2 linked regions of the Danio rerio genome follow. The protein of the gene in region 2 interacts with the protein of the main gene of each other region in a biochemical or structural test. Links are inferred from orthologs where the notes say so. Each region holds a gene or a part of one and is shown on either strand. Other genes may lie near its edges.

What was found.
Region 1: the proteins of gtf2e1 (region 2) and taf6 form a complex in vitro, tested with the Homo sapiens proteins (2 studies listed by BioGRID). The link is inferred for Danio rerio from reciprocal best matches to the Homo sapiens genes GTF2E1 and TAF6.

The regions. Positions count from the first base shown.
Region 1 is NC_133180.1:58,922,948-58,927,018, forward strand, and holds the start of taf6 (transcription initiation factor TFIID subunit 6), read left to right. Parts: upstream 1-1,248; 5' UTR 1,249-1,422; intron 1,423-4,071. UniProt on the Homo sapiens protein: The TFIID basal transcription factor complex plays a major role in the initiation of RNA polymerase II (Pol II)-dependent transcription.
Region 2 is NC_133184.1:29,390,214-29,394,371, reverse strand, and holds the start of gtf2e1 (general transcription factor IIE subunit 1), read left to right. Parts: upstream 1-1,334; 5' UTR 1,335-1,467; intron 1,468-4,052; 5' UTR 4,053-4,158.

The DNA of each region.
Region 1 (4,071 bases), on a different chromosome or scaffold from region 2:
TAGTGAGCATTAAGAATTTTATGCAAGGATTCAGCTTCATTTAAAGACAACTGGCAATCTCTAGAGATATTGTTGTCAATAAATAAATGTAAAAAAAATCTAATGTTGTCTAGGTTTTTGATTGTCAGGTAGCTAAATGGTCCTTGAAATTTTAGAAAGTAGTAAATTGTTTGTCTAAACGTTCTGCAGCTGTCTGGTAGTCAATACCACTGCATTCTTATCACAGCACATCATTACGCCATATTACACTGTATTGTACGGTTATAATTGTGTTATTGTCAAAATGCAACTTTATATATAAACAATACAACAAATTTCATCTCTCTATATAAAAGCGTATAACTAGGCTACAATTAACCATTACACTTTCCAACTATTTGTGTTTTGAATTTTTCTTATTAGATTAATCTAAATTAATTTGCCAGTGGGCTTTTGCATAGCTGAAATTGTTTGGTGAGTGTATCAGTTCTGCATATTCTCTAGTGAGTTTATAACTCACTTTCTGATAAATTAACTTAGCGTTCTTATTCAGCGTAATCTAATGAAAAAAAAAAAAAAATATATATATATATATATATATATATATATATATATATATATATATATATATATATATATATATATATATGTGTGTGTGTGTGTGTGTGTGTGTGTGTGTGTGTGTGTGTGTGTGTGTGTGTATTTATGAACAGGACATTTAATAATCTGGGAGAGTAGACTTCAAATGTATTGTTTGGCCATGTATCTTCCATCCCCCCTACTGGACGCATTAGGAACAACAGCGGCGTAAAACTGTGGCGTGTAAAATTGCCTGAGCCGTAAAACTGCCTAGATCCAAGTCTGCAGATGTCCCATATAGGGGTCTGCAGCTTCCCCTTACTCGCCGCTTCACCCAACCCAACAGCAGGGGCACTGTCTGGTCTGTCTGTGCGCGCTAGTCTGAGCGTGCAGTTGGGTCTCCGGGCCTGCAGCTTCCCCTTACTCCACTCGGGCGAGGCGGTGTGGTGAGAAATCGAGTCCCCCTGCAATCGATTCCGAGGCAGTCTATGTCATGAAAGATGCATAAAAATGAACCTATATACACTGCTTCTTCTGCATTAAATATTTGCTGAATAATTTGTAAAACGTTCATTTATAACTATTCTTTTATAAAGTGTGTTTAAAACATGACGCTAATATGAGCTTGTAAAAATATACGTGCGATAACGTCACATTTGTTTTAGGACCTTTCAGCAGATTCAAAATGGCGAATTTTCGGAAAAATGGTTCGGAACTAAATGGGCTGTGCAAAGTATTAACAAACCAAACAAACAAATAAAAACACAAAATTCGTATTATATAATACAGAGGATTTACCCGTTTTGTTTTATTGTTTTCAAAGCGGCAGCTTTAAATAGACATAGCTGCAACCTCCTTTTGAAGGTAAGAAAGACATGCTGTTCACTTTTGCTTTTGTGCACGTTTATTACAGAGAAGCATGATCCAGTCGTACATTAATAGCCTTTCGACACACACACACACACACACACACACACACACACACACACACACACATATATATATATATATATATATATATATATATATATATATATATATATATATATAAACAACGCAGGTTTATGTAGCGGTAACGCACAGACAACGTAGTTTATTTACTTCTTTACTTCTGAGTATTTGATCAGTAACGTTAATTACATGGTCTCAAATAAGCAATGCAAACTCATATTGATTCTAGTAGAAATACTAAACTATTTTATAATTTAGAGTTTGAGAATTTATAACAGGGCAACGCTGTGGCGCAGTAGCAAGAAGGTCGATGGTTCGAGCCTTGGCTGGTTAAGTTGGCATTTCTGTGTGTAGTTTGCATGTTCTCCCCGTGTTCGCATGGATTTCCTCCGGGTGCTCCGGTTTCCCCCACAAATCAGGTGAAATGGGTAAAGTAAAATTTTCTGTAGTGTATGTGTTTGAATGATAGTGTGGGTGTTTCCCAGTGATGGGTTGTTGCCTGAAAGGGCATCAGCTGCGTAAAACATGTGCTGAATAAATTCGTGGTTTAATCCGCTGTGGCGACCCCTTAATAATAAAGGGACTAAGCCGAAAAGAAAGTAAATAAATGACTGATCTTATAATACATAGTAATAATTGGACATTTTATAGAGTTATTATAGTACTTTTACGATTCCTAGTAGGATGCAAAGCTGTTCTCTGTTAAGAAGTGTAGCGTTACGCAAGTTTGGGAAGTTTTTCTTTTTTTTTTTTTTTTTTACAAAATACATGCTTTAAATAGTTATCAATATTATACATTTTTATTTAGCAACTTACTCGAAATACTTAAGAATATGCATATTTTAAGCTAATTAATACAAATAAATAGGATTCCATGCAGTTTTATGCTGCATTCCAAGCTTTAAAACGAATCCAAATACACAGACACAACTATTCTAAAAATAGCCAAAACAACCATCATAATTCTTCAAGTTATAAAAAATAATTGGGTAATTTCTACAGAAACATCTATTTTTAGCATGGCAATTCAGACAAGATGTTTAAACATTTATTTCTTTTTTAACATTTAAACTTAGACCACATTATTCAATTTCTTTTTACAGAAGGATATCCAGGACAATTTTTAATATGTGGATGCATAAATTTTGACCCAATCCAAATGTAATAGCAAGTTGCACATTTGCAATTGCATTTCCACTTTTGTGAACGCGCAGTGACTGCCACATTTCAAATAAAAAAAGAAAAGTCCATTTGAAAAATGCATTTCCCATGTCTTACGAGCTATGGGCCTGACATATCTGAACAGCTATATTAATTGCTTCACTTTCTTTTTTATTAAGCTAGAAACAAGAAAAAAAATGACAACATAAAATATTTGCTTTATCACAAACTGTAGTAGCATTATTGGTAATAAATATTGAGGCAACAGAGGCAACGTATATAAGCTAGCTTGAAAAATTGTTTATTAAATATAGATTGTATAATTTGAAAACATGCAGTAAAATCATAATGGTTTTACTTTGCAAAATTATGCTACATACAGTACATGTAAATCACACTACAAGATGGCTAGTAGATGGAGCTTACAGATCAGTAATAATCCCATCATTATGAAATTTGCTGAATCACAAGTATATTGAATTAAGCCCATTTATACATAACGTTTAGATGTTTGATAACTGCAAATAATGTCAGCATATATTTTGCTAATATTTTCAGATCTCTTAAAACAAACTACAAAAAATCGTTGAAACATTATTAGGCTACTATGAAACTTAAACCCGATTATTAATTAATTAATTCATTCATTCATTCATTCATTCATTCATTTATTCATAGTCTTTTCGGCTTAATCCGGGGTTGCCACAGCAGAATGAACTGCCAACTTATCCAGCACAATTTTACGCAGCGGATGCCTTTTAGGCTGTAACCCATCTCTGGGTAAAGCCTGGTTTAAACTTCTGCGTTAAGTGACCGGCGTGACCCACGGCGCATGCAACGGGTGTAGCTGTGCATTTATACTTCTACGCGCTGTCTCTTTTGATCTGAATTAACACTTCCGAAACGCTAGTTGGCAGTAAGGTGTTTATGTTCCTCTGTGTTGAAATTCTTCTCTGCTGTTTTGCTTTTCCTGAACACTTCCTGGATGTACAAGTGGCTTAAACTTGCTCATTTTGAGGCATCTTTTGTGCAGTCTGGGATTTGAGAAAGAGATGCGCGGGCTTTAAAGTGTCACGAAACACCAAAACACGTATTTTGAGCTGTTGACAGTCGTATATGTGTCCCACACTGCTAAAAACACTATTAGGACACCTATATTTCACCAAAAAGTGTAAATTGGTTGTTTTTGCGTTATTTTAAGCAAATTCGTACTTCCGGTTTGAAACGAATTTTTGAAGCTGCGTCACGGTCATGACATAATAGCGTTGTATTCCAGCGTGCAGACTGGGCGTCTGTGCCAGAGTGTGTCTTGTTACGTCTTACAGTGTGATGCATTAATGCATGAGTAAAGCTTGGTTCAAACCAATCAGCGCGCTCTATTGTGGAACTTTATTAATATTC
Region 2 (4,158 bases):
CTGTAAAACATCCATACACACTCAATCACACACATAAAATACGGACAATTTAGCTTACCCAATTCACCTGTACTAGAGGTTTATGGACTTGTGGGGTAAACCGGAGTGACCGGAGGAAACCCATGCCAACACGAGGAGAACATGCAAACTCCACACAGAAATGCTAACTGACCCAGCCGAGGCTCAAACCAGCAACCTTCTTGTTGTGAGGCGATTGTGCTACCCACTGCGCCACCGTGCTGCCCTTTGCTTTAATACTTTATATTTTAATACAATCTCTACACTATAAATTATTTGTTTTCTTAAAATAAATTCACAATTTAAAACAATAAATCAACTATTTAATTTTTAAAACTAAATTTTTTGTTACCTGAATAAACTGCTCTGATTAGGGGCGGGGGACAATTTTGCATGCAATAATGACGTTAAAATTTGTTAGACCTTCACCAACATATGATAGTAAACTATGTTACATAATTTGTAGGTATAATTTATGCTTCCATACATTTATCGGGGGCTCCCAGATTCTCTGGGGGATTAAGTGACTGTTTACCTTATTTATTGGTTAAATCCCGCCCCTGCCTTTGGCCCCTAGACACCTCACACTCCAGTTCACATATTGTCATCATATATTATATAATTTAGTATTTTTATTATGCAGTACCACTACTAAACTACGCCAGAGAACCATAATACGGGATACTTTTGACAGTTTTTAAGTGGCGAAAATACATTTCAATGACATGATTCCTAAAGTTAATGGCACTGAGCCTATCCTGTTACAACCAACATAAACTGAATTTAAACACTGGCAGACTCACGGCAGCATCTTTTCCTTGTTCTCTTTTTCTGTTTACTGGCATCACTCTCTGGACACACGTGTAGTCTTCACTGTGAACAACAAGGAAGCAGCACAGCGGAAGCGGCTTCCTTTCGTCTATGACAAAAGCTTTTACAATTAAACCTTACAAGTCTAAGCAAAATACGTTCATTCAAACATATAAACATGTGTACTTTACATGCCGAGTGTCGGTACTTGTACCGTAGGATTGTTCCAAAGACAATTAAAGGGATTTTTATTGTACACAGCATCACATTACTTTTAACAAGTAGTTGTTATTTACTTTTTTAGTTTGATATAAAAATAAGATTTTATAAATACTGACTAAATGTATTATTTTAAAATGGTTAATGCACAACATATTTTGGTAAAGCGTTTTGAATTGTATATAGACTTTTCAGCAACATCCTGGACGTCATTTCCGCTAAACGTTAGCGTGATGCTGAACTAGGAAACTTGCTCTGATCTAAACAGGAGGAAAATTAAAGGTTTGAACTGTATTTTATCTCATTCAGTTTTCATGTTGTTTATTTTGCTAAACGTGTGAATGTAACGTTAACAGCATTTCTCAAAATACCGAATCATCGCGTTAATCTTACATTAAACTCTCCAGATACATGAAACTGGTGAGTAGTCATCTGTACTCTCACATTGCTTTGTATTATTTTCGTTGAGCGTATTTATTTCATACTTTTTGCGTGTAACTGAAGTACAAATTTAAGACAACATAAACTTATCTTCGTTTCTAAAGTAATTAACCCTTAGACATCGTTCTTAAATGAGCTCCTTTTATTTACGTGTTTAAACTCCATGTTAACCTGAATGACTGCTGTTAACACGGTAAAAAAAATTCTGATTGATATGTTTTCCATAATGGTTTCTGCATGGTGCATCTTAGACCTTTAACTAATCTTTCTGACATTTCTAACCTTACAAAGATTTCAGTGACAAATTGAACATTGCTGTTTTGACTTCAGCTGATATTCCTTTAAATGGCACCTATTTTACCCCTTAATCAAGATTTAAGATAAGTCTTTTGTGTCTCCAGAATGGGTCTGTAAAGTTTCAGCTCAAAACACCTCTCAGATTATTTATTATACCTTTAGAAGTTTGGAATTTTCTGCTTTGAACACAATGTAGCTGTTTTTGTGGCCTGCGCCCTTAATGCCAATTCACCCTGCCCACCGTTCCCTCGTGCCTGTCGGAGTGTGCCTCAATCTCTGCCTCGGCTGCGACAGATAAACAGCACAGTGACAAAAAGATCTCCCGTAAAGTTTGTGAGAAATACTTCAGTAAGAAATCTCCCAATGATTATTTGATGTATTTGTTGTGGAGTTAATTCAAGCCTTTCTATGATGAGTCGCACACAATGTTGTTAGAAAGTTTACACAGACACACACACACACAGGGATGGGACGATAAACAGTTGTGAATAGTAAAAGTTTTAAAACCGTAATGTTTTCAGTTATACAGTTTCTAAGGTATGTGTATGTTTTTTTGTTTTTTTTTCACGATTACTTTAGTTAGTTTTTTTAGGGCAACAGAATCTCCAGCAAAAAAGGAACCTCTACACTAAAAGCTACTGGTCTAATATATATATATATATATATATATATATATATATATATATATATATATATATATATATATAAAATAAATCTATTGTGTTCAATAGGGGCAAAAGTTGTTGTGTCCCAGACATTTAAAAATAATTTATTTTGGAGGAATAATTACAATATCGTGAAACAGTGATATTTTTTCCAAGGTTATAAAATCAGAATCTTATTCCGGCCCATGCCTACACACACAGTGCGCGCATTTAACTTTGCACTGTTTTTGCACGTAAATGTGACAGGAGGATACACATTAATATCCCCTGCTTTATGGACATCCATTATGTTAATGTACAAAATAAACCTGATTTAACATCCACAAACGGATTGAAAGGTCTTCTTTTTTTAATTGTACTGACCTGGGGCTGTGGTTATAAAGACGGTAAAATCGCTTGCGTGTAGTCTTCTTGTTGATATCTTGTTGATATGATTTTACTCGTTACTGCGATGACATGTTAATATGAGGCTGTCAATCAGTTCAGTGGGCAGGAAAACTGCGCTCCTACATCACAGTGCAGTGGGTCTTAAAATGGGATGGATTTGGATGCTATTTCAACATCAGGAAATAGAAAAAGAGACCTATTGTCTTTATATCACTCCAATATGACTGTGGACACACTTTACTTACAGTTGTGTCCAAACAGCTCACAAAAGATGATTTTTATGATAGGTGCCCTTTAAGGTAAAATTATCTAGTTATTTAAAAAAAAAGATTGTAGAAATACTATTGAAAATGACCTAGGGCTGGGTGATATGGCAAAAATGCAATCTTAATAATTATTTTCCATATTGAATGATAACGATATATATATTTCAATAGAAGTTGCTAATGCTTTCAAATTTAAAAGAGAGGTTTACCCCCAACAATGACTGAAGCCACAAAAATTAAAAGCTTTATTAAACCATTAACAGGCCTAACATATGCCAAAGCAATGGCAAAATATCTCTAATAACCACACACTTTTACATTCCCATTGTTTACATTTCTGCTGTGTGATTGGCTCTTAGATCAATTAAAGTAAAAACGTCCAGAGCTCATCATTGTTATTGACAAATTTTATTGCGATTTGATATGATATTGTTTATCAGCCCAGCCCTAGAATGACTCTTGAAAGCATCAGTTATTAACAAACAACCGAATTATGATGTTGTTTATTAAATGAGGGATTTAAGGCGCTATATTACAGTTTGACAGTTAAAAGTATTCCTATATATATATATATATATATATATATATATATATATATATATATATATATACACACACACACAAAATGATTTTATAAGTTAAGTTAAATAAGTTTCATTGTTGTTTTCATTGTCATATTTTTGATGTAGGTGAGTGCTGTAAAGGTGTCAGAAAGTTTAACCTGGTCCCATAAAATCAATGTGCTGTGTTTTTAATATAAAATAAACACCCCAGGGGTTGCAAAAATAAATCAATCCATCAATCAAATCAAAAGGTTGATGGCTTTTTATTTTCATGTTGGTTTTGTAAATGTAAGTATTAACTACTAATCTTTTCTTCTGTATGTCATGGATAAAATATGGTAAGCAGGTGATTTTTCAGAAATTTTCTGTTTTTTTACTTTTCACAGACCTTCCTCCAAGAAACCTAAAGTTCAACTCTTCACTGTCTTGCATAAAAGACAAACTGACCCTTTATGACAGCACATTCTTGGTCCTGAAATATCTCTTCATCTG